Oryctolagus cuniculus: one gene and its partners. The protein of the gene in region 1 interacts with the protein of each later gene in a biochemical or structural test. Links are inferred from orthologs where the notes say so. Each region holds a gene or a part of one and is shown in the gene's direction. Other genes may lie near its edges. The genes, in order: NEDD4, HNRNPUL1, TRERF1, YOD1, UBE2E1, SQSTM1 and TNIK.

Region 1 (3,922 bases):
ACGAACGGCATCATTTAAAGACTGTACCACTTGGCTCGAAAAGAGCTTAAAATTTCAGCAGAAAATGCTTGGTGACAGCTTCTCAAACTTTTTTTTTTTCTCAGACCTATGCTCCATTCTTACAATAGCATTACCAGACTGGTTTCAGAATGTAATCCTTAAGCTTTCGCTTTTTATAACTGGTATTTGGAAGCTGAAGTACTTATCTGTTTGATTTAATGCTAAAAGTTTAATTCACTCCCCAAGTTTGGGTGTTTCCAAGTTTATACAACTGTTTGAATTTTCTTGTTAAACGTTTGTTAACAGCCCGGGTTCTTTCTACATTAACTAACTTGACTAGATTCCTAGTATGGCTACTATTTGGAAATTCAATCTTTGATTTGATACTCAATTACATGGGCTTTCATTCCTACCAACTTCCTGTAATTCTATACCTTTGGGTAAAAATATTAGTGGCCAAACTGCTGGAGAAGGTAAATGCACTGTGATTCACAGAGTTAAATGCTCATTTAGTAGAGCTGGGGTGAAAAAACACTGTTTCGACTTGAAATGCTAGAAGATTGTTGTTCTTGTGTTACTCATTCATGCAAATTGGAGAAGGTATAATTGAAACAAGGTTGGCTGTGTTTGAGTCAGTGTGCTGCAGCTGAGCTCAGCTTAAAGGTCGCTGGAAATCGAGTGCTTTGTAAGTGAAGGCATTTTGACTACAAGCGATTCAAGACATTTTGGAATCGTCAGTCTCAGGAATGGGCCGTCTTTTTCCTCCTGTGATATCTGGTATCTAATGGTTTACTGAGGGTAAAGGCTACTGCTTCGTGGCTCTTTCAGGCACCACCAATGATTTTTTCTTTTGCTGCGGTGCAGCTGCTTCTAGCCTGTCTCCCGACAGAGATCTTTGTTATGACTTTCAGCCCTTAACATGTTTGGAAATGAGAACAAATGGCACAAAGCTTACGATTGCACTTTGCAGCCAGAAGAAGTAATACTTACCCTTTGTCAGAGACCTCCGGAGATGATTTGGATAGCCATGTCCACATGTGCTTCAAAAAACCAACACGGATTTCAGCGTCTAACGTGGTGCAAATGAAGCTGACTCCCAGACAGACTGCCCTAGCTCCATTAATAAAGGAAAGCGTTAAGGCTCAGGAAAGATCATCTGTTCCTGCATCTGAAAATGTTAATAAAAAGAGCAGCTGTCTACAGATTTCGCTGCAGCCAACAAGGTACAGTGGATGTCTTCCGTCTTGCAGTGTCTTGGCTGATGGTGATGATGTGTCTTCGTTTGCTCGTGTCTTGAAGGATGACATTGACAGCAGTGCTGTGGTTGATAATGAACTAAGTGCTGTGAGTGATGGCAGCCTTTTGAGCAGTTCTGCCATTTGCAGTGGTAGCCTCAGTAACTTTTCAGTCAGTGATAATGGATCTTACAGCAGCACCGGTAGTGATTATGGGTCATGTGCAAGTATCACAAGTGGAGGGTCGTACACGAACAGTGTCATCAGCGACAGTAGTGGTTATACTTTTCCCTCAAGCGATGATACTTTTTTTGGTGGAAATTTATATTCTGACAGCACCTCCAACAGAAGTGTGCCAAACAGGAATACTACTCCCTGTGAAAGTTTTTCAAGAAGTACAAGTACTGTTCCTTTTGTCCAGGATGACTTGGAGCCTGGAATAGAGATTATGAAATTGCCATTGAGCAGGAACCCGAAAATTCCACTCAAGCGCTGCTCATCCTTAGTGATTTTTCCTAGGAGTCCTTCAAGTACCCCACCAGCTTCTCCAACAACCACAGGTACTCTTCCAAGCAAAGGCTCCTATCAAACTTCTCACCAGTTGCTCGTGTCTCCTAATGAAATTGCACATAATGAAGATGGTACTATTTCTAAGGGATTTCTTTCCACAGCCGTCAATGGACTTCGGTTATCTAAAACAACTTGCACTGCTGGAGAAGTGAGAGACATCCGGTCGCTTCATGGGAAGGGCTCATTGCAGAAGAAAATTGTCCTTTCAAATAATAGTCCGAAACAGACTGCCTGTGAGAAGTCGCCTGAAGGATATTCTTGCCTTTCAGTGCATTTCACCCAACACAAGGTGACCACAGTAGATGGCAAAACTACGAGTGGTCATTGTAAACCAGAGAAGTCGGGAGTTAAGCTTAATTCCGATTCAGAATGTAGCAAGCTTGTGCACAAGACATCTGCATGTTTGCCATCCTCCCAAAATGTAGATTACCAAGTAAATGTCAGTGGAGAGTTGGAAAGACCAAATTCACAGATAAACAAAAGCCATGCCATTTTACAAAGGAGTATTTCATTGGGAGGAACTTATCCAAATATTGCCTGTTTATCCAGCCTTAAGCACAGTTGTTCTAAGGGGGGACCATCTCAATTACTCATAAAGTTTGCATCTGGAAATGAAGGTGAAGTTGACAGTAGAGATGTCACAAGTGAACTGTCTAATTCTTGTAAGGTAAGTTTCCTTTGGTCTTGGTATATGATAATTTTACACTAGAATAGCTTACTGAAATATTTTGTTAACATTTATTAAGTTAGCATTTCCTGATCCTTAGCTACCAAGTATTATATAGTCAGAAACATTATATTTATAAATCCAAAGAATCTCTGATAGTTTTCTCACTTTGTTAATTTAGCAGTTTCCTGTATATTTTATATATATATATATTTCCTATATCTTTTTAAACCTCTCCTAAGTGATTTAAGCAATAAAATGTTTAAATGGCATAACAGCAAGTTTTAAATAACAACCTACTTCAAAACATTGTATCTTGGTTTATTTTTTTTCTCAAGTGGCGTACTATTTTATTAAATAACTCCTTATTTTATTCCTACTTTCAAAAATGCTCATTTGCTGTCCTCCCTTCCCTTACTATTGTGAAATGAAGTAAGACAGAATGTTTCTAAATGATAGTAAACAAAAAGCTATGTGAAGTGTGAAGATCTTATTACAAATGACTGTAGGAGAAAAATTTCCATAAAATATATGTATTTATAACATCACTGATGAAACTACCATACTGCATGTGCAGAGCAGAGGAAAACTAAGTGGCATCTGCGTCTGTATAGACCCCAACCACAGGAATTTTGTTTCCACCCTATTTTTCTTTAGCCACCAGTTAATACTGCCTTCTAAAATATAGCTCATTCTTTTCAACAATATTAAATTCTGAGTTTTCTATGTGTGAATTTGGTTTCAGTTGCTAGGCATTTCCCATAATTTTCTACTTAGCTTAATAATTTGTTGTTTTGACAGTTTGCTTTATTATACTAGTGATTTTAACTCTAGTAAATCTTAGCCAAAACAATTCTTTATATAATATGGCCTTTCCAAAGTATTTAAAGTATTTTGAACACAAATAGATTTTTGAGTTTCTGTATTTGGAAGCTCTTGCCAGAGTCTAGGAAATTTACAATTTTTCTCTGACTAAACCTCTTCTAGATGACAGGACATAATGGGTTTTTTCTTTTTGTGGGGGGAGGGACGTATCTGTTTGTGTTTATGTAACATTCGGTATCTGTATTAAAGATTAAAACAGAAAAAAAAACAACTTCTGGACAAGTAGTTTTAGGTCGATGTGAAGTAATAGCTCATTTGTTTTCTGTCTTTAGAGATCTGATAAATATAATCATTGTTGCCCATGCCCAAAGTTAATATAGGCAGTGTCTTACTGAGGATGAAATAAGATCAGATTTCAGATTCTGATGTATGTTTTAGAATTGCTCACTCCATTTAGAAAACTTGTTTAAAATCAGCTTTTGGGAGATTATAATCCCTTCAACTATTTTCCCCTACAGAAAGAAATGAAGTGACACTGTAAAGAAACATATTAAAAGCTGTCGATTTGAACCTGATACAAGTTGCAAATTTATTTTACACTTAATTAAATAATTAATCTGTAAAG
Region 2 (3,922 bases), on another chromosome or scaffold:
TGGAACACGTGAAGGCATGTGCAGAGCTGGACTCCACGTTCTGAGGCCCAGCTGTGGCTTCCTTCATCTGTTGCCTACACAGCGTGCCCTCACCAGCAGTGAGGACAGGGCAGGACCGCCTTTTCCTTCATCTTTGCCGGGGGAACTAGAGTCAAATCCTTAGAGCCTCTTCAAGTCACTTGTTTCTCACCCACCAGCTTCCAGGTCTTGGGCAAGGAGGGTTTGGGGCTGGACATTGTCTGAGCTGTTCCCTGGTGCTGTCTAGCGTGCCTGAATGTTGAGGAATTCAGTTAAGTCTGAAAAGTTGGCTGTTGTTTCCACTCCCTGCATCTCCTGCGTCAACTCTCTCCCACCTGTGGCTCCCAGGGCCTTGTGCTGAGAGTTGGCAAGTATTGTCATTGACTTTTTCTCCCAGGACTTTGAATGTGGAAACGATGTGGAACTTTCCTTCACCAAGAATGGGAAGTGGATGGGCATTGCCTTCCGAATCCAGAAGGAGGCCCTGGGGGGTCAGGCCCTGTATCCTCATGTCCTGGTGAAGAACTGTGCCGTGGAGTTCAACTTCGGACAGAGGGCAGAGCCCTACTGTTCTGTCCTCCCAGGATTCACCTTCATCCAGCACCTTCCCCTCAGCGAGCGGATCCGCGGCACCGTTGGACCAAAGAGCAAGGCAGAATGTGAGGTGAGCAGACTCAAGGCCGCACTGGCGTCCGCCTCCCACAGCCACCTAGCTGCTGAGGCAGAGGGGAACTAAATAGCCGGGTGTGGGGAAGGAGCATGCTCACTGCGAGAGTGACTGGGCCCAGTGGGCCCCTCAGCCCTTCGTGTGGAAGGGTGCTCTGAGTGGGAGATGGGTGGAGCTGCTGTGGCTTAGGCTAAAGAGGAAGGGGCTAATGTCATCTACCTGAGTCTTAGATTCCAAAAGGAGGGAGGGCTTTGCCTCAGCAGAAAGGACAGCAGGCGATTTCTGGGGGTGCACTCTGCCACCCAGGGTGTCTGAGAGCAGAAGACACAGGCGGGCTTTGGAGATGAGTAGGCTCCAGGAGCTGTCCTGGGGATCCTGGTTTTTTGTTTTCTGGGTTTTATTGTGTTTTGTTTTGTTTTCCAGATTTTTTTATTATTATTATTATTATTTGAAAGAGTTACAGAGAGGAAGAGAGACAGAGATCGTCCATCCACTGTTTCACTCACCAAATGGCCACAATGGCTGGGACTGGGCCAGGCCTAAGCCAGAAGCCGGGAGCTTCTTCTGGTTTCCTATGTGGCTGCAGGGGCTCAAGCACTTGGTCCATCCTCCACTGCTTTTCCAGGTGCATTAGCAGGGAGCTGGATTGGAAGTGGAGCAGCTTGGGTCTCAAACTGGTGCCCATATGGGTGCGAGCATCGCAGGCAGAAGCTCAACCTGCCATGCCACAACACCAGCCCTGATCTTTGTTATTAAATAGTGTTTGTTTTTTTTTTTTTTTTGTATGTGTGAGTTAAGTTTATTCTAGAAAATAGGAAAAAAAAATTTCCCCTCTCCACCACCACCTGCTCATCAGTTCACTTTGAAGAGTTTTGGTATTCTCTTTGGTATGCCGGGAGCCTGTTTCGGTGTACACATGTGACTGAGATCTTAGGGTATTAGGGTTGGAGCATTGTGACAGCCTGCCTTGCTCCCTCACTAGTGCTTGTGAGCTGTAGCCCACCACAGGAAAGCCCTGCTTTGCACATCATTTTTATTGACATCCTAAACTGCCTTCTCTTCTCCCTCCTTATGAGGCATTTAGTTTGCATCTAGAGTGTGCTGATTCTGAGTGTACTGATTAGGAGTGATCCTTGTTCGTGTGTGTACAGCTCGCTTCCTGTTTCTGACTGCAATAAGTTCGTACCACTTCTCATGCCCACTGTAGGGACCGGCCCTGGAGCACAGTCTTTCTGGGGCTTTTCCCTGTCGGAGTCCCTTTTCCTGCCTTGACCAAAATGTCAGTGCTGGTGATGACAGCTGTTGAGTTAGCACTCATCCCTCGCCAGGCCTTCGGCCAAGCATCTGACCAGCCTGACCCCTTTGAATCGCAGCTGCAGCACTGTGAGGCCGGTGCTGCTGCTGCTGCCTCCACTTTCCGGGGCAGCCATGAGATCAGAGTATTCTGTTGTCACCGCCAACAAAGGCAGTGCCAGTCCCCATGCAGCATCCCTTTGCATCTTGTGTTGTAGATTCTGATGATGGTGGGCCTACCTGCTGCTGGCAAGACCACTTGGGCCATCAAACATGCAGCCTCCAACCCTTCCAAGAAGTACAACATCCTGGGTACCAATGCCATCATGGATAAGATGCGGGTAAGGACAGCGCTCCGCACCTCCCACCTGCTCAGTGCTGCCCTGCAACTAGGACCACTCACTCCTCACCTCTCCCACCCTCAGGTGATGGGCCTGCGCCGACAGCGAAACTACGCTGGCCGCTGGGACGTCCTGATCCAGCAGGCCACCCAGTGCCTCAACCGCCTCATCCAGATCGCTGCCCGCAAGAAACGCAACTATATCCTAGACCAGGTGCTCACTGATGGCAGCATGTCCTGGGAGGGGGCGGGCCTCTTGGGTACCTAAAATTTCCCCTCCAGCCTTCTCCTTTCTCAGTGCTTTTCGGCTGTGGTGCTGGCCAGGGTTCAGCCATACACGAGGATGCAGTCTGGCCTCTGCCCAGCTCCCAGGCCCAGTCTGCCGGGTTTGGAGCTGCAACCAGGCCTGCTAGCTTTGGCTCAGCAGCAGCTCCAAAGGACATCATTAGGGGAGAGCCCTTTAATAGAATGGAAGAGGTGTGGATTTATGAACCTGGCAGGCTGCGGCTGAAATCCTGGCTGTGCTGTTTCCTCACTATGTACCCATGGCAGCCGACTTTACCCTATGGGTCTCAGTGTCCTGGTCTGTAAAGTGGAGGTCATAATGGCATGCAATACCCAGCAGGGCCTGGCACGCAGTAACTGGTGATTACGATTACTTCCTCTGCGAGTAGGCATTTCCCAGCTTCCTTCACCAAGTTTTTATGATTGACAGGTAAAAACCTAAGTCATGTATTTTTTCCTGACATTTCAGCTAACATCAAAGGATTTAAGAGCCTTTGAAATCGAACATGGAATACTTTGTTTTATATTGTATATGCACATGCACAGAGATACGTCTTTTTTAAAGAAACGAGACAGTTTTGAGTTAGAAAGATTGTCCATGGCTTTCAGCATTCTCAGAAGGATGAGTGACCCCAAAATGGTTAAGGATTCCTGTCTCAGAATAATGACTTCCACATGCTTGTTGCCTGTGCAACGTCACACTTGACATTTGTCCTGAAGCCATACTCAAGGAGCAGAGAGTGTTTCCTTATTTTCCATATTTGTGGATCTGTGAATAAGCCTTGGATTTATGATGCGTAAGAGTCTGTGAGTGGGCAAATACAGACTGCTGTTCACATCCTTGGTACAAGGGTGTGACACCCCATCCTGTGGCCTCACTGAAGTGTCTTCTGTGTGTATAGCCTGAGCTGCTGGGTCACAGGGTCTTGGTGAACAACCAGTGATGGTTGTTGGCTTGTCAGAGAGGAATCCCCAGGGACCAAGTTGCATTCACGGAATGTTGAGAATCCTGCACCACGTAACGAACACAGGCTAGCCCAAAAGCTTCTCGTGGTTATTCTGCCAGCTTGGCTGCACCAATAATGCATCACCCAACTTCCTCTCACTTGGAAGACTGGGTTTTTTTTTAAACCCTTGGCCTCACTTTGTCTCCTTGTGAGGGCATTTTAGAATTTTAATCTGACATGGCCCCAACTGGACCTCATGGTTCTGAAAGCAGAGCAGTGGTACTGTTCAGCAGTCTGAGCATCCTCTTTTGGATACCCCAGCAACTGTTCCCTGCCTGTATTTTTCTCAGTTTGCTGGTTAAATCAACTGTG
Region 3 (3,922 bases), on another chromosome or scaffold:
CCATGATCAAGATTGTTTAAATGTAGAGTGCATGGCCCTGTCTCCCGCCAGCTGGCATCACTCAGGCCCAGGAAGAGCAAAGTGCATGCCCCCCTCCTTGTGAGAGCTGCTGCCAGCCAAGGATCAAAGCCTTTATTGTCTGTGTAGGAGGAAGGAGAGAAGGCCCCGCCGCCTCCGCCCCAGCCGCCACTGCCGCCTCCGCCTCCGCCCGCGCCGCCGCAGCTCCCTCCCGAGGCCGAAAGCCTCACACCCATGGTCATGCCCGTGTCTGTCCCTGTCAAGCTTCTCGCACCCAAGCCCAGCTGCCAGGGCTTCAGCAACAGCGTCGCTGCCGCCCCCTCCGCCAGAGACCAGCCGGCCAGCTCCGTGTCCGACGACGAGATGCCCACGCTCGTGAGGATGACCCTCTCTCCCCCACACTCACCCCCAGGGGCTGCCCCCCACGCACCTGCCGTGAGTTGCTGCTCCGCACCGCCCCCCCCCCCCCCTTGCCTGGGCTGGGACATCCCTTTGCTTTCCTGGAGATGGGGTCGGCTCGTGGCCTGAGCCTCTCCCGGCCCAGCCCCCTCGTCCACACTGGTGGCCGCCATTAAACACCTGTCACTTTCCGGGCTAACAGCCTGGCTTAGATTTGGAGATACCTGAAGGTGTCTACAGAGGTGATGATTCAGCTGGCAACCACCAACACAGCCAGACTGCCTGTTAACTGTGGAAGTGTTTCTGCCCCAGATAGTACAGAGCTGTGGCCCAGGGCCCTGGCTCCTCCCCAAGATCACCAGACCTCTCCAAATCTACCCAAATCCAGCAACCAAACAGGTAGCCCCTGAGACAGCAGGGCGTCCAGGCAGTAGCCCTGCCATGCATTCTGATGCCCAGCCTCACCAGCTGCTTAACGTTCTCAACATGCACCTGCTTAAATACCTATAAGGACCTAACTCGTGAATGTTCCCCAGGTAGTTTCACAGCCAGCCAGCCACCCCCAGTCTCAGGAAAGCAAAGAGATTTGTGTCTCTCACTTGCTATTAAGTTCTTCTGTCTCTCTAATTCTCAGTGCTCACCCAAGCAGCCAAACTCCGCTCAGGGGCAGAGCCTTCCCCTACAACCTCCCCAAGGGATCCGGGACCTACATGGTTGGCTTTATCAGACCCGCCCCCACCCCCACCCCACAAAGTTGCTGGTTGAATCCTATCTGTCCTTTGAGACAGGTGGCTGCTGGGCTATCAGGAGGCAGTGTGGTAGGGTTGGGCCAGAGAAGGGGTAGGGAGGGTAGTTCAGAGCCTAGCAAAGCCCAGACAGAACCTTTATGGTTCTGTATGTGGCGCTGGGGTCTCAGGACAGGAACCTGATGGAGAACCCGACGAGTCCCATAAGCTGGTAGGACTTGGGAGCCAGCAGTAGGCAGAGAGGCACTGACACTTCCAGACTCCCCCTTTGCCCCGGGGAGGGTGCTGATGTGGTGCCAGAGACCCTTTGTACCCTTGGAGATCTGTCAATCAGGGGTCCTGACAGCACCCACCTACCCACCCATTCTAGACGGCAATGAGAGAGGAAGAGAAACCCATGCCCTGCACAGGGCTGATGGGAACACAGGGAACCCAGAGGGTCCCTGACTTTACGATGCTTGAGTTCCAGTGTTTCTACTGGTGTCGGGTGGCAGCCTCGGCTCCCAGCTCCCAGCAAGCTACACACTCGTGTGTGCTGTGTCGCTGAGCTCTGACGCTTGGCAGGTCAGGGGCGCTCCTTTTATTTCTGACTGGGGGTATTTTCAACTTCAGATGGCTTTAAGGGGACACAGCCACATCGTGAGTGGAAGAGCTTCCGTGCCTGGGGAGCTGATTAGGGAGTGGGAGCACCCAGGGCATTGGTGGGAGTTTGCTCAAGGATTGCTGAGCAGGGTTTTGAAGGAAGGGATGAGCTCAGCTTAGTGGAAGGGTGGGGGAGATCCAGCAGGGAGGGGATTGGCTGAAGTGGCGGCATGTAGGTGGGGCTAAGTCAAGATGAGCAAAGTCCTGGCACTAAAATATCTGGGAAGGAGCCTTGAGTTCCAATCCCCACTCTGCTCCTAGCCCCCTGGGAGGGAGCAGCTGAGACCCAGTTTGCTCCCCTGACCTTGAAGGGGGTGGGCTCTGAAGTGTTGTCACCCTGCCCTGTGGGCCAGGGCTTGCCCCCCTCCCCAGGAGTCTGACTAGCTTGGTGGGCTGCAGGTGCACCTGTGGTATTCTGGGTGCTCAGAGTCCTACCTGGAGAACTTAGAGCTGCAGTCACAAGACAGGAGGGTAGAGGAGAGGGAGCCCCAAGGGGACCTGTGGCCCCGGGGCAGAAGTCCAGGCCCCAGGGTGAGCTCTGCCTCTACCTAGAGAACCTCCACAGTTAGGGGGAGCAGGGTGTCAGGTTTCAGGATCGCTCCCCTCCCCCCATTCTCCTCAGCCTCAGGCACCAAGGAGCCCTCTGGTGGAGAGAGGAGACAGGCTGGCCTGCTCTGGCCTGAGGTGAGCTGCCTGGGGGCGAGGTCAAGTTCAGAACCTCCTCCTGGGTCAGGGAGTCTGAGGCAGCTCGGCCCCCTCCTCCCAGCCCCAGCTCCCTGCTTCCCTGAGCTCCTCTGCTGGAGGCCAGAAAGCTGAGGGAGAAGCAGGAAGTGCTGAAGGAGAGCCGAGGGCCTGCCGGGCCAGGTCACATGGTCTGGAGACAGCTAGTCATGTGACCTTGTCCAGCCCGTCCCATCACTCCTTGCTGCCTCTCCCTCAGGAGCCCCCCTGGGCACAGGGATCCCAGGAAGCCTGGTTGTGACTGGCCACTGGCCTGCAGGGCCTGGGAGGGCACCACAGCCTGGTCTGGCCCTCTCCACAGGTACCCCCTCTCCCAACCCCAAGGCCCTTCCAGCCACACCCAGCGGGTCTGTGTGGCGCCCGCACGCCGGCTTCCTCTGCACAGACACATGTTTACTTAATAGTACACATGTATCCAGGAGGCAGGTCTCCCCAACATGCTGCTGCCGCCCCCGCGAGCTAACGCCGCTCGGCTGACAGGAAGTGGGGCTGCGAGCTGCAGCCAGGGGTGCTGAGGCGGGAGGCGGCCAGGTCCACGGGATGGGAAGCAACAAGAAACCGGCCCTGAAGCGTCTCGCAGGGCCCAGGGCGGGTCGCCCCCTCCTCCTGCGCCCCAGCCTCCCCGAGTAATTGCTCTGAGCTTGCAGGTTCCCGCTTCTCGCCCACCCGCTAGTCCTGCCACCCCCAGCTCCCTCCAGACAGGAGGGGTGTCTTCCATAGCCCACGTCTTCTCCCTTAGCGGATCTGCCACAGCTCGCTTTGCCTGAAGTGGATGTCGCCCGGTGGGCTGGGAGGGGCCGGGCGGAAGCCCCCTTCCCCGCCGCGCACGCCTGTGGAGATGGCCCCCCTGGGCCGGAGCCTACGGTTCCAATCCCATCCTCCCTCCCGTTTCAGGAAGTCCCCAGGAAGCTGCAGTCGGGAGCGCCCAAGGCTGAGGAGCCCCCCAAGACGGTGCAGGAGAAGAAAAAGTTCCGGCACCGGCCCGAGCCCCTCTTCATCCCGCCGCCGCCCTCCTACAACCCGAGCCCCGCCTCCTACTCTGGCGCCACCTTGTACCAGAGCCAGCTGCGCTCCCCGCGCGTCCTCGGCGACCACCTGCTCCTCGACCCCGCGCACGAGCTGCCCCCTTACACGCCGCCGCCCATGCTGAGCCCGGTGCGCCAAGGCTCGGGGCTCTTCAGCAACGTCCTCATCTCCGGCCACGGCCACGGCCCCGGCGCCCACCCCCAGCTGCCCCTCACGCCCCTGACACCCACGCCGCGGGTGCTGCTGTGTCGCTCGAGTGAGTGGGCCGAGGATGCCTCCTCACAGGTGTCGTGTGCGTGGGGTGGCGGGGTCCCCCCTGTCTGTGCTGGACGCTCCCCAGGAGGCCTGCC
Region 4 (4,365 bases), on another chromosome or scaffold:
CGGCGGGTCACGTGCCCGCTGGCCCCGCCCACCCGCGCGTCGGTCCTCACCTGGAGAGAACCACCGACCAACCGGGCGCCGGCGGATGCAGGGGGCGGGGCTCCAGGCGGAACCGCGGACCCTGGCCCCGAGGAAGGGTGAGACCAGCTCCGGAGTCTCCGGGCTCCCGGGCGGGCTGCATCGTTGCTTGGTAACCAACAGGGCTGGGGGCGGGGCCCACAGAAAGCCTGACTGTTCTGTAAAAACTCTCGCGAGACTGAACCGCGCCAGCCGGCGTCCGCAGAGGTTAACGCTTTCATCCCTGAGTCCCAGGCGGACAGCGTGGGATCCGCACACCCGAGCGAAAGCTCTAAGAGGCGCCGGGAGTCGGCGTCCACCGTGCTCTTGAGGGTCGCGCCCCGAGTGTTCGCGTGCCGCTCCCCGTGGGTCAGACCGTGTACCCTAACGAGGGACCGGGGGCTTCCCGGACCCAGCCATGCGCCCGGCTGGACTTCACCCACCGTCCCGCCCCCGCCCCGCCCCGCCCACGCGACAGCATCTGTGACGGTCGTGTTGAAGGCCCGAGGCGCTCCACGGCACCGGCAGGGGCCTGGGTGGGAAAGGTGTTTGCAGAGAGCAGGGGCTCCTCGTGGCCACTCGGAGGCGGCGGCGCTGGCGGTGAGTTTGCACGTCCCAGGGGCCTGCCCTCGTCCCGCTGATGCTGGAGGCTGTAGAGGAGGAGCCCTGCCGCTCTGGGTCCGGGCTGGATAAAGAGCAGTGCAAATGCACTTCTTGGGCTAGAGCTCAATCCCGGGGCGTCTCTACCCCCCCCCCCCACCCGGGAGCGAAGACATTCTCCCAAACAGCTCGAACGTGTAGCTATCTCCCCTTTCGGCGAGTGGCAGCGGCCCTCCCCGTGCCCCTGCGCTGTACGCCAGGCACAGCCCTGGGTTTTAGGCCTACAGCGTGGGGAAGGGCCACCTGACCCCGCACTGTCTCCTCGCCGTGACACCCAGCGGCGCCGCGGCTCCCACCGCGAGTCTCTCCGCGCCACCGCCGGCACCGAAGGCGGGGACGCGGCCGACTCGGGGTCTGTCCGCCCGGGAACTGCAGAGGCAGCTCGGGCCCCTCGCTCCTCCTCACACTGCGCCCCCCAGGCTGGGGCCGGCCGCCTGCTGCCGCCGGGGTGGGAGGGTCGGGCTTCCGGCCCCTCAGCCCCGGCGCGGGCGGCCACGAGCCTCCGATGGCGTCTGACAGCCCCGCTGACTCACTGGCCATTCCTAGCATTCCGAGCCGTGTCGGGCGGAGGCCCCGGCCGGCCTAATCACTGGCCGCCGACATTCCACCCGACTCCCTCCGGGAACTGCTTCCCCGCCCTCTTCCCGCGCGCTGTCCTTATAAGCCGCCGGCGCGGAGCGCGGCGAGGCCAGGGATGCTTTAGGGATACGGGGCGCATCCTCGTCCCTGCAACACCAGCGACCACTTTAAGGGAGTTCGCTCTCCTCCAAGGGCCGAGGCGGAAAGTGTCGCGAGAACTGTAGCCCGCGCCGACTTCTCGCGATGTTTGGCCCCGCGAAGGGTGGCCATTTTGGAGTCCACCCGGCGGCCGGTTGCCCCGGCGGCGTCTCGCCTCCTGCGGCCGCCACCAAGGCTGGCCCCGCGGGTGTCTGGCCTGTGGGCGGCCAGTCCGACACGATGTGGCGGCTGCGCTGCAAGGCCAAGGATGGCACCCATGTTTTGCAGGGGCTGTCCAGCCGAACCCGGGTGCGAGAACTCCAGGGCCAAATTGCCGCCATCACCGGGATCGCCCCCGGCGGTCAGCGAATCCTCGTCGGCTTTCCGCCCGAGTGCCTGGATCTCAGCGACGGGGACACCGTTCTGGGGGACTTGCCCATCCAATCAGGTAAGGGATCGGAGCTGGGACCAGCGGGAAGGCCTGAGGGGCGCGCGCGGGGACGGAGACCCAGGCAAGGCAGGTGGCTGGGGGCGCTGACGGAGGCCGGGCCAAGTGTCCGGCAGCTCCGTGCCTTTACACAGGGCTGGAAGAGAAGCCCAGAGCCCAGGAGTTCGCCCTCCCCAGCCTGCCTTCTGTGCTTCCCTGAAGCTAGCTCAGCCTTGTTTTCCCCGTGCATCCGCAAAAGTTGGAAAAGGTAGGGCCTGCCTCTCGGTCCCGAGCGCTCGTTCCCGGTGTCGCTCGTTGGCCAGCCGGTCTGAAGGGTCCGGGGTTATTCCTTTGGCTTTCCTGGTTCGTTTTTGCAGTCCCCCGCGTTGAATAGTTAAGTTTAACAGGTGCACGCCTCGTAGAGTTAGCTTGTAAACATCCACGGAGAGCTCTTTCAAGTCCTAACCGACAGTAATTATTTGTGTCCAGTGTTAAAACTTGAACATCAACGTTGTAATTAAAAGCTTTTTGTTCTTGGATCCGGGACCTTGTAAACACAAGCGGGGCGAGAGAGGCCAAGTTTCAGGAGGGCGAGAGCCCCCTAGCGGCCGGTCTAGGGAAAACACCCTCCGGACGAAGGCTTCGCAGGCAATTTTGTTTTAAATGTATCTTTTTAAGGAAGTGTGACGGTGTAGGCCTCCGGCTTCGTTTGCTTGGGGTGCAGCTTGAAGTCTGTTCTGTTTTCACCTTTGTGAACAGTCGGGGTCAGGTGTTTCTAGTGTTCCTAGGGGCAGCAGTGTTCTCCATCGTAACCCCAGCTTCTATTTGTAATTTACAGACTTGGCTAATCTCATCTGTCATTTCTCTGCAGTTCTGGATCTGTTTTATTTTTAACAGGCGATATGCTGATCGTTGAAGAAGACCAAACCAGGCCCAAAGCTTCACCTGCATTCTCAAAACACGGTGCTCCTAGCTATGTCAAGGAAACCTTGCCTGTGCTTTCCAGGACTGTGGTCCCAGCAGACAACTCCTGCCTCTTCACCAGCGTGTACTATGTGGTTGAAGGAGGCGTCCTGGATCCAGCTTGCGCCCCTGAGATGAGACGCCTCATAGCACAGATCGTAGCGAGCGATCCAGACTTCTACAGTGAGGCCATACTGGGAAAAACAAATCAAGAGTACTGTGACTGGATCAAAAGGGATGATACTTGGGGAGGAGCGATTGAAATCTCCATCTTGTCTAAATTTTACCAGTGTGAAATCTGTGTAGTGGATACACAGACGGTAAGAATCGATCGCTTCGGGGAAGACGCGGGGTATACCAAAAGGGTCCTGCTGATTTACGATGGCATCCACTACGACCCGCTGCAGCGAGACTTCCCGGATCCAGACACGCCGCCTCTGACCATCTTCTCCTCGAACGATGACATTGTCCTCGTACAAGCACTGGAACTAGCAGATGAAGCTAGAAGAAAGAGACAGTTTACCGACGTCAACCGCTTCACCCTGCGATGCATGGTGTGTCAGAAGGGGCTGACTGGACAGGCAGAGGCAAGAGAGCATGCCAAGGAGACAGGCCACACCAACTTTGGAGAAGTGTGATCTATGCATGATGAGGGTGGAAGCCTACTACCTCACAGATCCAGAAGGCTCTGGGTTTTCCAATAAGCTATTCCTGACCCTAAAGAACAAAGGACACAATGCTTGAACCACACCTTGAACTTGAAACCACTAAGACACTGAAATTCCTTGTTAAGATTAAAATTAGTGTGCAAGTTTACAGATGTGTGTCTACAGTGGTGATGCCTGCCCTCTTTCCACGGGGGTGACAGAACAGGTGGCCCCCCACCTGCTGGAGATTGAGTTTCAGTATTATAAACTAGCACGCAGCAGCTTTCACCTGTAGAAGAAGAGAACGCCACATTTCGAGTAATGTTGACAGCCTCTCATGAGGCCCCGGACGTGTACCAGTGTCTCCAGTAATTGAGTCCTTTTAACAACTGAGTGAGTTAATAGTTTCTAAATTATGAATTGATTTATCAAACGAAGATACTCAGAATTGTCAAAACTGATTTTATATTGCCATTTGGTAGACTTTATCAGTGTGTACTTAACCACTTCTGAGTACGTAACAAGCAATCTTTACAGGGATGAGTGCGTTCCTAGAGAATGTCGCTGACAGCAGGAGCGCCTGTGTCCTGCTGCGGATTTCTGGTGTGTGAAGTAGAATGTATGAGGAAAAGGTGCCTGAAGCAGCTCCCTGCGGCTTCCAAGGACGTCAGCCTCGTGTGTCAATGCACTTCCTGTGCTGGTCTTTGTCATGTTGGGTACAATTTTAAAATTAAGCAGGGTAATTTTTTTTTAATCAAAGTTCCTTGAAATTCCAGTATTTGATTTTTGCTTTCTTTACATGAAAATTTGGAGGGATGTAATTTTCTCAGCTTTTTGTCACGAGAACTTCCTCCAAAAAACATCTTCATCCAAAGTGAGAATGCTATGCTTCGG
Region 5 (4,520 bases), on another chromosome or scaffold:
AAGGATTGAGCAAGAAGCGTGCACAATTACTTTATGAGTCTTGATAAAGCTAAAAGGAGTTCAGCTGCGTGGTGAGTAGACCTGTTTTCCTGATTTCTGGCTATGTCACCGGCCTTAGGTTTTGTGTTGTCCTCTGGTAACAGAGGCCTCTGTTGTCACGGGAAATGAGGGCAATTTGAATAATTTAAAGCGGCCCACGGAAGTCTAAGTGGGCTCTCTACGTACAAGACCCTGTGTGCGAGCAACTGTTGTGTTTGGACAGCACACAGTTCTTCAGTTCCCTGCAACTGAAGTGACAAAACCCACGTCGCCAAATCGCGTTGATGGCTTAAGACAGTAAAAAAATGATTTTTGGTAAAAAGGCGAAATAAGGAACAATTTAGAAGGATGCCTGTGATTATTCTAAAACTAGGGTTTGAACAGCATTTATATTGTAGCTCAAGCAAGTCCAGCGGTCCCCAGAACTTTCCATCCACTCTCCCTAAGTCAGGCTAGATACCTGAACGCACGCGGACAGCAACAATTCTCAGTGCGGTCTAGTTCAGTTCGTGCGTGATTTCCCCAGTTACAGGTTGGCTCACTTGTCACGAAATCCTCTGTATCCCTTTTATAAAACCGGACCACTTTCCACCCCCCCCCCCAAAAAAAAAAGTGACTGGCAGAATCTGACATTGTAGAATCGCACGTGCCTCGTGCCTGGAGCAGGTACCTCCTGGCTGGGGTTTGCTCCCAGGCGTGCGTGCCCGGGCTGACCTCGCTCCGGGCAGGTAAACGGCCAGGAGCGAAGCAACCCCACGCTAACCCCGTGCTGGGGTTTCTCGCCTCACTTAGGAGGACTTCCCGGGGTCGGCTCTGGTCCGAAGTCCTGGCCAGCAGCAAGCCCCCCCCACCCCGCCCCAACTCCTCTGGTCGGGAAGAACTTGCTCTCGCGACCCCCTCTGCCGTCTAGTTCCAGTCGCTCCCGGCGCCCCCACCTCTCTGCCGCCCGGAACCCGGGTCCCCGGGCCACTTGCAATTCACAGCCGTGGCCCCCTCCCCGGGCGCGCGGCGGAGGCGCGGGGCCGGCGTCCCCCGGGTCCCCTGTGCGCCCCCCGGAGGGCTGGCCGGGGGGGCAGGGAAGCGCGGTGGGTGGGTGCGGGCCGGCGGGGGCGGGGCGAGGAGGAGGAGGAGGAGGAGGCGAGGAGGAGGAGGGGTGGGGAGCGCGAGCGTGTGTGGCTGGGGGAAGCCATTGCCTGTTTAATAGTTGCTGTTGCTGCACTTCCGCTTCTCTCCCAGCGAGAGCGAGACACGAGTGGCCAGGCCCAGCCGCAGCCGCAGCAGCAGCCGCCGCGGCGGCACGGAGGAGCCAGACACAAAGAGAGGTACGGGGATCCCCCCCGCCGTCCGCCGCCCCCCGGCCGCGCCGCCCGGGCCTCGGGGACGCCCGCGCCGCCCGGGCCGCCGGGCGCGGGGCCGGAGGAGGGAGGGGGGCGGCCGGGGGCGCCCCCAGGGGTCCGGGGCCCGCCCGCGGGGGATGGGCAGGGGCTCCGGGCCGCGTGGGGTGCGGGCCGCTCGCGTCGGGGCGGGGGGTGGGGGGGCATTGTGGCTCGAACTGTCAGCGCGGCCCCGGGAGCCCCCCACTGGCCGCCGAGGGGGCCGCGAGCGGGGGAGGGGGAGTCGGGGGAGCCCCGCTGTGTGTCCCCCCCCCCCCCGCCCCCAGGACGGGGGCCGGCGGAGAGGAGCCCCTCCCGGGCCGACGGGCGCATTGTTATTCCCTCGCCGCGGAGGCCGGCCCCCCCCCCCCACAGCCTCCCCTGGCCCTCCGCGGGGGGCGATCGGGCGTGTGCCCGGGACCCCGGCCCGGCTTGCGCAGCCCCGGGGGGCGGGCGACCGAGGGCCAGGCCGGCGGGGAGGGGCGTCGGGGCGCGGCGCGGGAGTGTGTGTGTGTGGGGGGGCGCTCGGGCCTCGCCGCCCCTGCCCCCACCCGGGCACCCGCTCCCCGCCCCCGGCCCCCCGTTTCGGCTTCCTCTCTCACTCCTTCCCGCCCCTGCTCTCGTCCCGACCTCGCCAAACTCCGCTCGTGGCCTCCCCCCACCCCCCGCCCCGGCCTCCTGGGCCGCCGACCCCCCGCGACCCCCGGAGAGCGGACAAAAACAGCCCCGAGGCCGGCCGCCTCCGGACCTCGCCTCCCGGCCCGGCCCTGCTTGGCCGCCTCGGCTTCCCCTTCTGGCCTGGTGGGCAGCTCGCTGGGCCCCAGACCCCTGTTCCCGCGGCCCCCACCTGGGCCCAAAACAAGCAAGCCGCGTCCGACTTGCACCAGCCTCGCTGGGCCTGCGGACTTCGGGGGAGCGCGTGTTGGGCGGTGGGCGGCGGGGGGCACCCTGGCCCGGGCGCCCCTGACGGCACCGGCCGCCTTGTTTACACCGCCTGCATGGCTTGTCTGTTTCTGTTCTGTCTCCCTCCCCGCTGCAGGGGCTGTTCGCGGGGTGGGTGGGGGGTTCGCTATGTCGGATGACGATTCGAGGGCCAGCACCAGCTCCTCCTCATCTTCGTCCTCCAACCAGCAAACCGAGAAAGAAACAAACACCCCCAAGAAGAAGGAGAGTAAAGTCAGCATGAGCAAAAACTCCAAACTCCTCTCCACCAGCGCCAAGAGGTACGTGCCCGCTTTTCCGCAGGCTCCCTGTCTCCAAGTGCCTGCCTCCCAATGCGGGCCGGCTCGGTGTGCGCGGGGCTGTGTCCCCCGAAATGAAAGACGTGGCCTTGAAAGTCCTCCTGACTGTCGCTTTCGCTGCTTGTGTTTTTCTTTTTAATTATTGTCCACTTGCGACCGTGGCGGCTTGCCTCTCTCTCCATTTCTTGCTCAAGTTTGGAAGAATCTGCATCACTTTCATTGGTGACCCTCGAATCTGGTTTCAGTTGGCTTGTCCTATTAATCAGTAATCTGTGCCCCTCCCCAAAGCTGTCATCGGGTTCTTCATACTAATAGCTGCCCAGGCAACTCTTAGCAAAATGAATTCTTGGACCATTTTCCTTTTTGGTCACCTGTTGCACAGATGATATTTTTTAATAGTGTTTTCTCTACAAATTGCATAAGGAATAAATGGCTCTCGTTAGGTGGTAAAATATATGGATGGATGAATGGATAGATGATTGATAGATAGATAGGTAGGTAGGTAGGTAAGTAGGTAGTAGATGGGACTGGTGTTGTAGCGAAGTGGGATAAAATAATGTTTGGGATACCAGCATCCCATATTGGGGTGCCTGGGATGGAGTCTCAGCACCAGCTTCCTGCTACTGCTCCCGGGGGGCTGTGGATAAAGGACCCCCAAATACCTGGGTCCTTGCCACCCCTGTGGGAGACCCAGATGGAGTTCCTGGCTGCTGGCCTGGGGCTGGACTAAGGCATGGCTGTGCAGCAATTGGGGAATGAACCAGCAGCTGGAAGACCTCTCTCTTCCTGTGCCTTCTAAATAAATACATGTTTTATTTTAAAAAAAGATTTAGTAGGTGAAGACATGCTTTCTGAAGGAATTTAAAGAGATTTTTCTGATTTGGAGGGTTGAAGCAAATGGATCAATAATGGTTGTAAAATGGTTATTTTGAGGATTCAGTTTTGCTACTAAGAATGTCTACTTACCAGATTTCGGGGAGGCATGGTTTTTTCATGCTGTTTGCTCTTAGGCTGTAAAAATGTTGCTTCACCTTTGAAGCCAAGCAGTGGCTGTTTCTTCTTCAAGTCTCTGGAGGTGACCACTTGTTAGCCCTGTCGCTGTCTTTGAGTGATACCCGTGATGCCCTTGACCCTTAAAATAATCTGTAGTAAGTTCCTGGGAACCCCCAGACACCCACTCATCAATCCTCCTGTTCTCGGCTGGTCATTAAAGTGGCTATCAGGAATCCAAGTGCTGAGTTCAGACACCTTACTTAAAGAATCTGAAATCAGATGGAATCTGGGGCTGTAGGTCTGTCCATTGAGGAGGGAGCCTGCAGTTTGTACGTGCAGAGTTTGTTCTGTCACTGAAAATTCGGTCAAGTGTTTTGGTGATTTACCCATGGGCTGATGAGGGAGTGACTTGTGCTTGTTTTACATGGCGTGGGGGTCTGGGGTTCCGTGGCAAGATGGTTCTAATTGTCAGCGGCCTGGTTTGATGCCTCTGGCCGGCGCTGATGGGAGCCTGGCTGGACAAGCCGTTCCTTAACTCCTCCCATTCCCCCAAGCCTTTAGGTTCCCTGACCTGCTCAAGGCAGGGTATTTGCTTTAGGTTGTTAGTGTTTTTATATTTTGTGGGACATCCCTGCTATATAGAAACCCTGGAATACCTGGGGGTGGGGGTGGGGTAAAGGCAGGTGTCAAATACAAAATACCCTGCTTTGGGTCCGTGAACAGTAGTGACAGGAGGATTTTTTTTCAGTAGACAGAAATTGTTAAAAAGTTGTTTGGAAATGGCTGGGATGACAGTTGGGGCTGCAAATAGTAATTTCCAATCAGTTAACATCAGGGCTTTTGTTTTTTTCCTCCAATGAATTTAACTCTCCAA
Region 6 (4,609 bases), on another chromosome or scaffold:
GACTCCCGACCCTGTGTTGGGGCAGAGGGGCCAGCAGGCCCAGGGACACTTTCCCAAGGCTCACAGCGGCAGGGATCATGGACCAGCCTCTCCAAGGCTGCTCCTGGCACGGGAGCCTGGCTGGCTTCGCTGGGCAGGATCCCGTTACTCCTGTGGCCTGGCCACCTGTGCATCTGCCTAACCCCCATCCAACCAGCCCACCCTCATCGCTGGGCTTCCCAAGCTGCTCCCACAAACTTGACCTGAAAGGGGGGGGGTTTGACCCAACAGGGCTGACTCTTAGTCACAGGACCTGCCTGGGAGGTCTGGGGGGGGGGGTGACACACCTCCCTTCCCAGCGCCTTCCCCCAGGCCTTGCAGACAGGTCACTTTGGTCCCAGGAAGCAGAGTTTCTGGATTCCCAGCTGAAAGGTGACTGGTCCCATCCCCTTGGCCGCCCTTGTGGCCAACACTCTTGAGGCCCTACAGGCAGGCACCTGCTGCATTGGCCCCCTGCCCTGACAGGTCTGTTAGGCAGCCTGCATCTGTGAGAGGGAAGAAATGGGAATTTGTGTGGCTGGGTGAGGGAAGAACCACAGAAGCAAGCCTGGGAAGCAGAGCAGTATTTACATCTCAAAAGTCTTAGTTTCAGGTGGGGCCAGTGCTGTGGCGCAGCAGCTGAGCCTTCACCTGCAGCGCCGCATCCCATTTGGGCACCGGTTGTGTCCCGACTGCTCCTCTTCTGATCCAGCTCTCTGCTATGACCTGGGAAAGCAGTGGAGGATGGCCCAAGTCCTTGGGACCCTGCACCCACGTGGGAGACCTGGAAGGAACTCCTGGCTTCGAAGTAGTTCAACTCTGGCTGTTGCAGCCATTTGGGGAGTGAACCAGCAGAGGGAAGACCTCTCTCTTTATCCAAAACTCTGCCTGTAAAATAAATAAACACATTTTTAAAAAAAGAGCCTTGGTCTCCTTCTATAACCTTGTTGAGTGGGTCCCAGCCTTTTCCCAGGGGCAGCTTAGAGAAATCCCTGCCCTGCATTGGGGGGGTGTGTGTGTGTGTGTGTGGCTATTAGGTCCAATAATACTGCTGATGAAGTTCTGGGAGGAATTTCAGGAATTCCACACTCTGGAAGCCCTTCCCCCAGACGTGTCCCAGAAGGGGAGGGGAGGGGAGAGGAGAAAGAGGGCTATACCCGTATCCATAGAAACCCCAGTCTGAAAGCAGGTGGGTTCAGCTCTTGATGGAGATGCCCGCCTACTCTGTCAGGTGCATTCTTTTCATCAGACTTGGCCAGCACGCTTGCTGCTATTCTGTCCCATGGCTGAAGTTCTTGTGCTAAAACAAGGACCCCTGATCAACCATTCCTGGTGATGGTGAGGAAGGGCCTGGGGCGTCAGGCTCAGCCTGCTGGGCTCACAGGGCTGGGGGCGTCCATGTGTCTTTTTGAGCTGCAGTCAGCACTTGGTGACTGACTGCCGTCGCTAGTGGACGAGCCGGCCAGCCGGCCCTGGACAGCTAGGGACGCTCATGCAGGAGGCTGTGGTTGGTGTAGGGCTGCCTTCTGGGGGTCACGCATGGCAGGGCAGCAGGGTACCCTAGCAGCCAGCTGGTTCCGGCTGGTGGTGCCCACTGGGCAGCCTAGATGCCTCCTGGGATAGAGGGCTCTGTGTGTCCTCCTCTGTCCTGTGCTGGGCAACCCCTGCTGATGACCAGGGACCTGCTCTGCTGAGTCACAGCCAGGCCCAAGCCGGAGAGGGGCCTCGGACAGGACCCCAGCCCATTCCTTTCAGGAGGTACAGATGCTGAGGCCTGCTCTGGGGGTCTCCGGTGCCCTGGGGGCAATGAGGGGACAGACTGAGAGCGGTAGACCATGTCAAAGGGCAGCGGGGAGAGGGGCAAGCAGGCACGGGGCCCTGGCAGGGAGACTCGCGAGAGGCGGCCCCGGCGGTGGGGGGCGGCACCCGAAGAGTGCAGGCTCCGCCCCCAGGAGTCCACGTCGGGCGGGGCTTCCGCGTGCCCTACAAAAGCCACGCGCCACTGGCGCCACCGCCGCCGCCTCCTCCGGTGCTCCCTCGGTTGCGCAGCTGCTCGTCGTTCTCCGGCTGCGATGGCGTCGCTCACCGTGAAGGCCTACCTCCTGGGCAAAGAGGAGGCGGCGCGCGAGATCCGCCGCTTTAGCTTCTGCTTCAGCCCGGAGCCGGAGGCCGAGGCCGAAGCAGCGGCCGGCCCCGGGCCCTGCGAGCGGCTGTTGGCCCGGGTGGCCGCTCTGTTCCCGGCGCTGCGGCCCGGCGGCTTCCAGGCGCACTACCGCGGTGAGCGGGCCGGGGGGTGGCCGGGGTCCGGGGCTGCCCTTTCCTAGTCGGTGCCGGCTGCGTCGGAAGGGATGCTGTGCTGGTCGCGCTCTGGGTGAGCGGTGACCTGCGCGTACCCCACTTGCACCTCGGGTGCCAGCCCAGTGACCCAGGCCCTGTCCCTCAGGGGCCGAGGCGATCAGGCCCCGCGGGCTGGGGACTTTGGGTCGTTAGATGCTTCCTGTTCCCCGCCATAATGTTGCAGATCTCGCCAAGGACGCGCCGGGGCGTCCTCTCTGGCCCTGGGCTGAGAAGGTGGTCAGGCGGGCACTCGGGTTACACTGACATCTTGCTGCTGCCGGGGCTGGGCCCGCCGGCGCCAGGTTTGCGTTCAGCGAGCCCTGAAAGTGGGTGGTGGGCGTGGGCGGCTGGGGGACGCAGGGCCCTTGAGCCCGGGGTAGGCCGCAGGTCGCCCAGGGACAAGGCAGTGGGGAGACGGCCGATGTCGAAACGTTCTCCACAAACTCAGAGTGGGGACAAGCCCGGAGCCACCGCTCTTTCTGGCTGCGCTGCTCAGACCGGTAGCTGCTGCTGGGGGTGGGGTCCCGGGACAGCAGTGTGGGAGGGAGGTCCTCGGCCAAGGCCCGCCCCTGGGAGGGAGCAGGGCTGGGACCGCCCTCAGTAGCTTGCCCAGCATTTTTTTTTTTTTTAATTTCCTGGTGACAATTTTATTGAGCTGTAATTCACATACCATAAAATTTACTCATTTAAAGTATATAATTCAAGGGTTTAAAATTTTATTTCATTTTGAAAGGGCAGAGAGACACATACACACACACCCCAACCTACCATCTGCTGGTTCACTCCCCAATGGCTACAGCTGCCAGCCCCAGCCAGGCCAGGAGCCTGAACTCCATCAGTGTCTCCCAGGAGGGTAGCAGCAACCCAGGCACTTGAACCATCCTTTGCTGCCTCCTCCAGTGCACATTAGCAGGAAACGGGATCAGAAGTGGAGTGGCCTGGACTCCAACCAGGCACTTTCATATGGGCTGCCAGTGTTCCGGGCTGCCAGTTAGCCGCTGCAGAAATGCCTGCCCCGATGCAGTGGTCTTTAACACATTCACCAGTTGGAACTTCTGAGCAGACTTGGGGCTGGAGAGCGGGGCCAGGCGCTGGCAGTCAGCATGAGAACCCCTTCCTCTCCACTGGAACCCCATGCCTTTTACCTGTCTCCCTCAGCTCCTGCAACGCTGAGCTGCTTTCTCTCCTGGGCGTCCTCTTCTGGACAGTGGTGGAGAGGGGGTTGTACAGTTTAGCTTTGTGTCTGGCTTCTTTCCTTAGGGAAATGCGTTCAGGTTCATCAGAGGTGTAGGCTGCATCTGTATTCGTTTCTTTTGTGGATATGCCATATCGTGTTTGTGTCATTAGTTGATGGACTTTTGGGTTGTTTCGCAAAAGTGCCACTCTTGCTCTGAGGGTAGATGTTGCCCTCTGGTGCCCAAGTCCAGGCCCCGCCTGCAGCCTGTGCACGGTGCGGTCTGGTCTGGTCTGTGTGGCAATGCTTTAAAATCACGGAAGCCAACATAGAAGGACTCAGCCTTTTTTCTTCGTTGGAGAAAGCAGCAGGCCTCTGGGCTCATCTCCACTTAAACATTGCAGACAGCCCAGAGCCTTTGGCGGGCTGGGCCTCTGAGGGACAGGGCACTGTTATTGTCCGTGTAGTGTACGCGGAAACTTTGCCTTTTAGGTGTGACCGTGGCCCAGGTTCAGGCCCAGGCGGGCACACTTCCTGTCCAGTGAATGGGCAGGCTCCCTTCTTATCCCCGATCTGTCCAGCCCCACCCCTAAAGAAGTGGCCTTGGTGGGCATCAGGCCTAGTGGTTAGTTCACCCATTAAGATACCTGGGGCCCGTGTTGGATCCCAGCTCCCGACTCCAGCTTCCTGCCAGGACAGATGCTGGCAGGGGGTAGGTGAAAGTTCAAGTAATTGGGTCCTCACCTCCTACATGGGAGCCCTGGATTGAGTTCCTGGCTTCTGCCCAGCCCAGTCCCGGCCCTTGATAGGAGCTCTGCTTGTCTACCATGTCTCAAAAATAAATAAGAAGGTGGCAAGTTGAGTATTGAGGCCACCAGTGCTCCTTTGGCCCCCGCTGCGGTGCTTACGTGCTGCGTTGACTCTCTAGATGAGGACGGGGACCTGGTCGCCTTCTCCAGTGATGAGGAACTGACGATGGCCATGTGCTACGTGAAAGATGACATCTTCCGTATTTATATTAAAGGTAAGGGAATAGGGGAGCTGGGTGCTCCCCACTGGGTAAAACAGGCCCTGACTGTC
Region 7 (3,922 bases), on another chromosome or scaffold:
GGGATGTTTGGATTATTTTATATTTTTATCTAATATATTTATAGACATTTCTAGCTAGAGCTGTTTTCAAGTTATCTAGACTGCAAGATTGCCAGAACCAGATGTTTTACATGAAATCTGATTTTTATAAGAATGTTTCTTTGTTTTTCTATCGTATCTTACATATGTACAGAAAATGTTTGAAATGATATTCTCCTAGTGTTAATGAAGGTGGTCTATAGGAGGTAGAATTTTAAAAATTGACTGTTTCTTAAAAAATGCACTATATATATTTAATAATCGTATACTCTAGTGAAAATGACTTTTAAGACTTAAAAAAAGTAAATCTATAAAGAAAATGTTTTGGGTTTAAGGTCAAGAACATTGTTATCACTTTCCCCTATAATCTGTAAACATGATCCATATTTACCTGTGTCTGTAATAGCTGCCTCTTTCTCTTAGATCAATAATTCAATTTTGTAATCCTACTCCCAGGTACAGCAACGACCCCTTAGTAATCCATCTGTTCTTCCAGCTAAGCAGAATCACTATGCTGTTAAACAGCAGCTGACATGCTTCCTGGCTGGCAGAGATGTGCCGCCTTCCTCCACTGCTAAGCCATTGTCTAGCCATGCCAAGTTGAAACCTTCAGCTAAGCCCGACCCTCAGCTCCTGAGCGTGGCAGGTGTTCAGAAACCTGAAAAACTAGCCTCTGTGAAGGCCATGCCGGTAGCACCTGCAGGAATCAGTGATTCCAGATCAAGACTCCTGGGTGAGCGTCACTCGCGGAAGCAAGATGGGCCAGCTCGTCCTATTAGACCTGTTTTGGACGAACAACTGAAGCCCCAGGAAACGTCAAGGACCACAGTGAGATCCCCAAAGCGATCTCGCTCGCAAGGATGTAGCCCAACTCGAGAGTTAGGATCTAAGGTCATTTGTGTGTCCTCCCCCAACATCTCCAAAGTGACGAGCCCCCAGCTGGCCCTCACTGCAGCTAAGGAGGGCCTCAGAGACTCGCGTGGCCCGCAGGACAGGAGGGGCGTAAGTTCATGCGTCTCCACAAGTACCTCACCTCTTCTAAGAAGCGCTGCGTCACTAAGTGATCTCTGCGTGGTGCCTGACCACCCGGCCTTCAGTGGTGCCAGCCCCAGGCGTGAGTTTAGAAAAGGGGCGCCTGCGGATGCCGCTGGAGAGGACCACGACTCCTTGCAAAGCATCCCAGCCGTTCTTCTTTCCTCTGGGCTGCTCCCGCGTGCACACACACCCCCGAAAACGGGGGAAAGCCCGAAGCAGTGTCTGCTTCCCTCCTCCAGCCTCTGCCCAGCACGTTCCGATTGGAACTTGTCCACTTTGAATTCACTGATTTCTAGTTGCTATTTGTCCTCGTCACTCAATTTCCTGGCCTATCCTGTCTATTCAGAAGCAGTGCACAGCTCCCGAGCTTTCCGAAGCCCTGGCATCCCTGAGGGTAAATCTTTGCAGATGTCGTCCAAACAGTTTCCTAGACCACCTCCTCTGCCTCCTGGCCAGGCTCCTAGCGGTAACAGAAACGGAGCCGTTGGGCATGCAAACGACATGGCTGTGTCATCAAGCACTCCTGATGTGAGGGTCCCCGGCCACCATAAGTGTGGGCTGCCTCTGGTGGGTGACGTCTTGCGAGGTTCCTGGCTTCCTAGCAGCTGGCACTCCTTCTTTGAGCTTCATGCACTTCTACACATACGTGGGAGCCTTCTTTCACATTACATCCTCTCCTCCTGGGTGTGGTTAACAGAATCCAGCTGTGAACTAACCATCAGTGCACTCATGAAATGATTCCTAAGCCTTCGAGCGGGCGGTCATGTTTGAGAAGACAGATGAAACATGTAGATGGTAGGAGGAGTGGCAGTGCTATCTTTGGGATTGGAGCAATTGGTGTGCTAATAAGAACAAATAATTGTCTGCCTCGGTTTGATTCATCATTTTTAACACCCACTTATTAAAACAGGAACAAAAATGAATGTGAGGATCCTTATCTTCTTGTCTTTCAGTGCTTCTCATCAGCAATGTATGAACTGTTCCTCTTCTGAACCACTGTTTACAGATCTCTTAAACCAGGGAGGGTGAGGGGGCTCAGAGCAGCCAAATAGTAACATGTTTCAAGACTTTAGGTAGGAATAGAATTCCTAGCTTATCAGTCTCTTAGCTAGCAACTGCTAAGCTGGGTTAAACTCTGCTGGTAGAATAAAAAGGTACCATTTTCTTTTTTCAAATGTATCCTCATCGGGATGTAAGCTTGAAAATATCCTCCCCAGGGAAGAGTGGGCAGCCTGTGTCACTGTGTCCTGTGATGCAGGGTCAGGATTTTCTGCCCCAGATGCCATGGAAGATACCACCCAGCTGTCTCCCTACCCCTTGCAACGTCTTCTGGAAGCTGCCCCACCACCTGTTTTCTAACTCCGCGCTCTACCGTCTTGTCAAGATGGGGCTTTTCCCCCCTTCTTTCATTACTTTCCCAACCATTTCTCTCCCTCACGCCAAACCGGCAGTTTTTCATCAGCGAAGTGATGTTACGCTTCATCCTCTGCGTTTTGATTTCTTCATTTTGTAAACCAGAAGTGATCGTGGCGTTTCTCATTATCTTTCTCATTAATATTTGTTGGGTGCAGTAAAGACAAATGGCAATGCTCAGTCATTTGCAAATCTTGTTCAAGGCTTCCCTCCCTCCTTTTCCTGCATGTTTTTCTTCTGTCCTGAAAGTCACATTGGCTTGACTTTTCCAGGTTTCAGCTGGAAAGGAACAATAGTGTCTGCATTAAAAGGACAGACTCTGCTGCTCTTTATGTCTGCCATCTCTGGATTGGAATGGAAGTCAGATTTGCTTTGTAAAGGACCGATGGAATTTGAAAGTCCTTTTTCCCCCTCACTTTTTAAATGCTGGAAGTTCCTTTTTTTCTTTCCCCTATTACTCAAAATGGCATGTGATTATCAGGGCCTGGCATTAACTTTGTGGCCACCCCCTACTAACCTCCCACATACTTAAAAATTGTTTTGCACCAACATGCAGTAGTGACAGGATGCTCTAATGCCCTGTTTACACGAGTGTTGCATGAGACTGTGTTTTGATTTCTGTGACACCCCATCCTGTTCTCTGATGCATACTCGTCATCTGGCCATAGTTCTAAACTATGATGATCTGTTCAGGGCCACAATACTTCTTTGTTTCCCATCAGCCTTTTGGATTCTAAAACCCTACGAATAAAGACTTCTCTGCTTGGATTTTTTTTTTAAAGATTTATTTATTTGCTTGAAAGGCAGAGTTACAGTGTCGGGAGGTGGGGGGTGGGAAAGATCTTCCATCTGCTGGTTCACTCCCCTAATGACCACAATGGCTGGAGCTGGGCCAATCGGAAGCCAGTAGCACCCACGTGGGTGCAGGGACCCAAGCACTTGGGCCATTTTCCACTGCTTTCCCAGGTGTGTTAGCAGGGAGCTGGATCAGAATTAGAGCAGCCAGGACTTGAACTGTTGCCCATATTGGATTCCAGCACTGTAGGTGGTGGCTTTACCCACAATGCCACTGCACTTGTCCTTCCACAGTGTTCTACAAGTGAACTGTTTTTTTATATGAGCTACTTTATATTTGAGATTCCCAGATTATCTTTTCTTTAAAGCTCTGTTCCCATCTCTCCTCATTTTCTACTTGTTTTGCTTACGTTTTAACATAGAGAGACCTGGATGGAAACAGGAAGGAGTGTGCTTGAGGTCAAGTTCTTTGACTATGTGGCCTGGGGAAAGTTGTCTCACTTTGCCGAGATGCAGCTTGTCATCTGTACTTCCTGCCTCACAATTAGGAGGACCGGGGGCAATAATGTATTGCAATGCATGTGACATTTAAACTGTGAGCACTGGACAAATGTAAATGAAATACACATATAATATTCAGCATATTCATTTTTGTTCCCAA

The links.
Region 2: the proteins of NEDD4 (region 1) and HNRNPUL1 form a complex in vitro, tested with the Homo sapiens proteins (2 studies listed by BioGRID, with this or other methods). The link is inferred for Oryctolagus cuniculus from reciprocal best matches to the Homo sapiens genes NEDD4 and HNRNPUL1.
Region 3: the proteins of NEDD4 (region 1) and TRERF1 interact in a test that uses a peptide from one of them, tested with the Homo sapiens proteins (2 studies listed by BioGRID and IntAct, with this or other methods). The link is inferred for Oryctolagus cuniculus from reciprocal best matches to the Homo sapiens genes NEDD4 and TRERF1.
Region 4: the proteins of NEDD4 (region 1) and YOD1 form a complex in vitro, tested with the Homo sapiens proteins (2 studies listed by BioGRID, with this or other methods). The link is inferred for Oryctolagus cuniculus from reciprocal best matches to the Homo sapiens genes NEDD4 and YOD1.
Region 5: the proteins of NEDD4 (region 1) and UBE2E1 form a complex in vitro, tested with the Homo sapiens proteins (7 studies listed by BioGRID, with this or other methods). The link is inferred for Oryctolagus cuniculus from reciprocal best matches to the Homo sapiens genes NEDD4 and UBE2E1.
Region 6: of the proteins of NEDD4 (region 1) and SQSTM1, one has a biochemical effect on the other in vitro, tested with the Homo sapiens proteins (2 studies listed by BioGRID). The link is inferred for Oryctolagus cuniculus from reciprocal best matches to the Homo sapiens genes NEDD4 and SQSTM1.
Region 7: the proteins of NEDD4 (region 1) and TNIK form a complex in vitro, tested with the Homo sapiens proteins (2 studies listed by BioGRID). The link is inferred for Oryctolagus cuniculus from reciprocal best matches to the Homo sapiens genes NEDD4 and TNIK.

What each region holds. Positions count from the first base shown.
Region 1 is NC_091443.1:78,614,298-78,618,219, reverse strand, and holds part of NEDD4 (E3 ubiquitin-protein ligase NEDD4), read left to right. Parts: 5' UTR 1-939; coding exon 940-2,472; intron 2,473-3,922. UniProt on the Homo sapiens protein: E3 ubiquitin-protein ligase which accepts ubiquitin from an E2 ubiquitin-conjugating enzyme in the form of a thioester and then directly transfers the ubiquitin to targeted substrates. Specifically ubiquitinates 'Lys-63' in target proteins.
Region 2 is NC_091449.1:13,324,008-13,327,929, reverse strand, and holds part of HNRNPUL1 (heterogeneous nuclear ribonucleoprotein U-like protein 1), read left to right. Parts: intron 1-415; coding exon 416-682; intron 683-2,196; coding exon 2,197-2,319; intron 2,320-2,403; coding exon 2,404-2,532; intron 2,533-3,922.
Region 3 is NC_091436.1:127,683,807-127,687,728, forward strand, and holds part of TRERF1 (transcriptional-regulating factor 1), read left to right. Parts: intron 1-147; coding exon 148-453; intron 454-3,440; coding exon 3,441-3,828; intron 3,829-3,922.
Region 4 is NC_091444.1:22,175,645-22,180,009, reverse strand, and holds the start of YOD1 (ubiquitin thioesterase OTU1), read left to right. Parts: upstream 1-1,539; coding exon 1,540-1,882; intron 1,883-2,758; coding exon 2,759-3,462; 3' UTR 3,463-4,365. Other genes in the region: PFKFB2 (6-phosphofructo-2-kinase/fructose-2,6-bisphosphatase 2), read right to left, coding at 51-742, 1,251-1,266. UniProt on the Homo sapiens protein: Hydrolase that can remove conjugated ubiquitin from proteins and participates in endoplasmic reticulum-associated degradation (ERAD) for misfolded lumenal proteins.
Region 5 is NC_091435.1:159,712,765-159,717,284, forward strand, and holds the start of UBE2E1 (ubiquitin-conjugating enzyme E2 E1), read left to right. Parts: upstream 1-1,540; intron 1,541-1,787; coding exon of another isoform or gene 1,788-2,213; intron 2,214-2,299; coding exon of another isoform or gene 2,300-2,379; intron 2,380-2,451; 5' UTR 2,452-2,483; coding exon 2,484-2,635; intron 2,636-4,520. Other genes in the region: basic salivary proline-rich protein 2-like, read left to right, coding at 950-1,540, 1,788-2,213, 2,300-2,379. UniProt on the Homo sapiens protein: Accepts ubiquitin from the E1 complex and catalyzes its covalent attachment to other proteins. Catalyzes the covalent attachment of ISG15 to other proteins. Mediates the selective degradation of short-lived and abnormal proteins.
Region 6 is NC_091437.1:67,652,642-67,657,250, reverse strand, and holds the start of SQSTM1 (sequestosome-1), read left to right. Parts: upstream 1-1,492; 5' UTR 1,493-1,853; coding exon 1,854-2,295; intron 2,296-4,457; coding exon 4,458-4,553; intron 4,554-4,609. UniProt on the Homo sapiens protein: Molecular adapter required for selective macroautophagy (aggrephagy) by acting as a bridge between polyubiquitinated proteins and autophagosomes.
Region 7 is NC_091435.1:109,161,068-109,164,989, forward strand, and holds part of TNIK (TRAF2 and NCK-interacting protein kinase), read left to right. Parts: intron 1-474; coding exon 475-1,620; intron 1,621-3,922. UniProt on the Homo sapiens protein: Serine/threonine kinase that acts as an essential activator of the Wnt signaling pathway. Recruited to promoters of Wnt target genes and required to activate their expression. May act by phosphorylating TCF4/TCF7L2.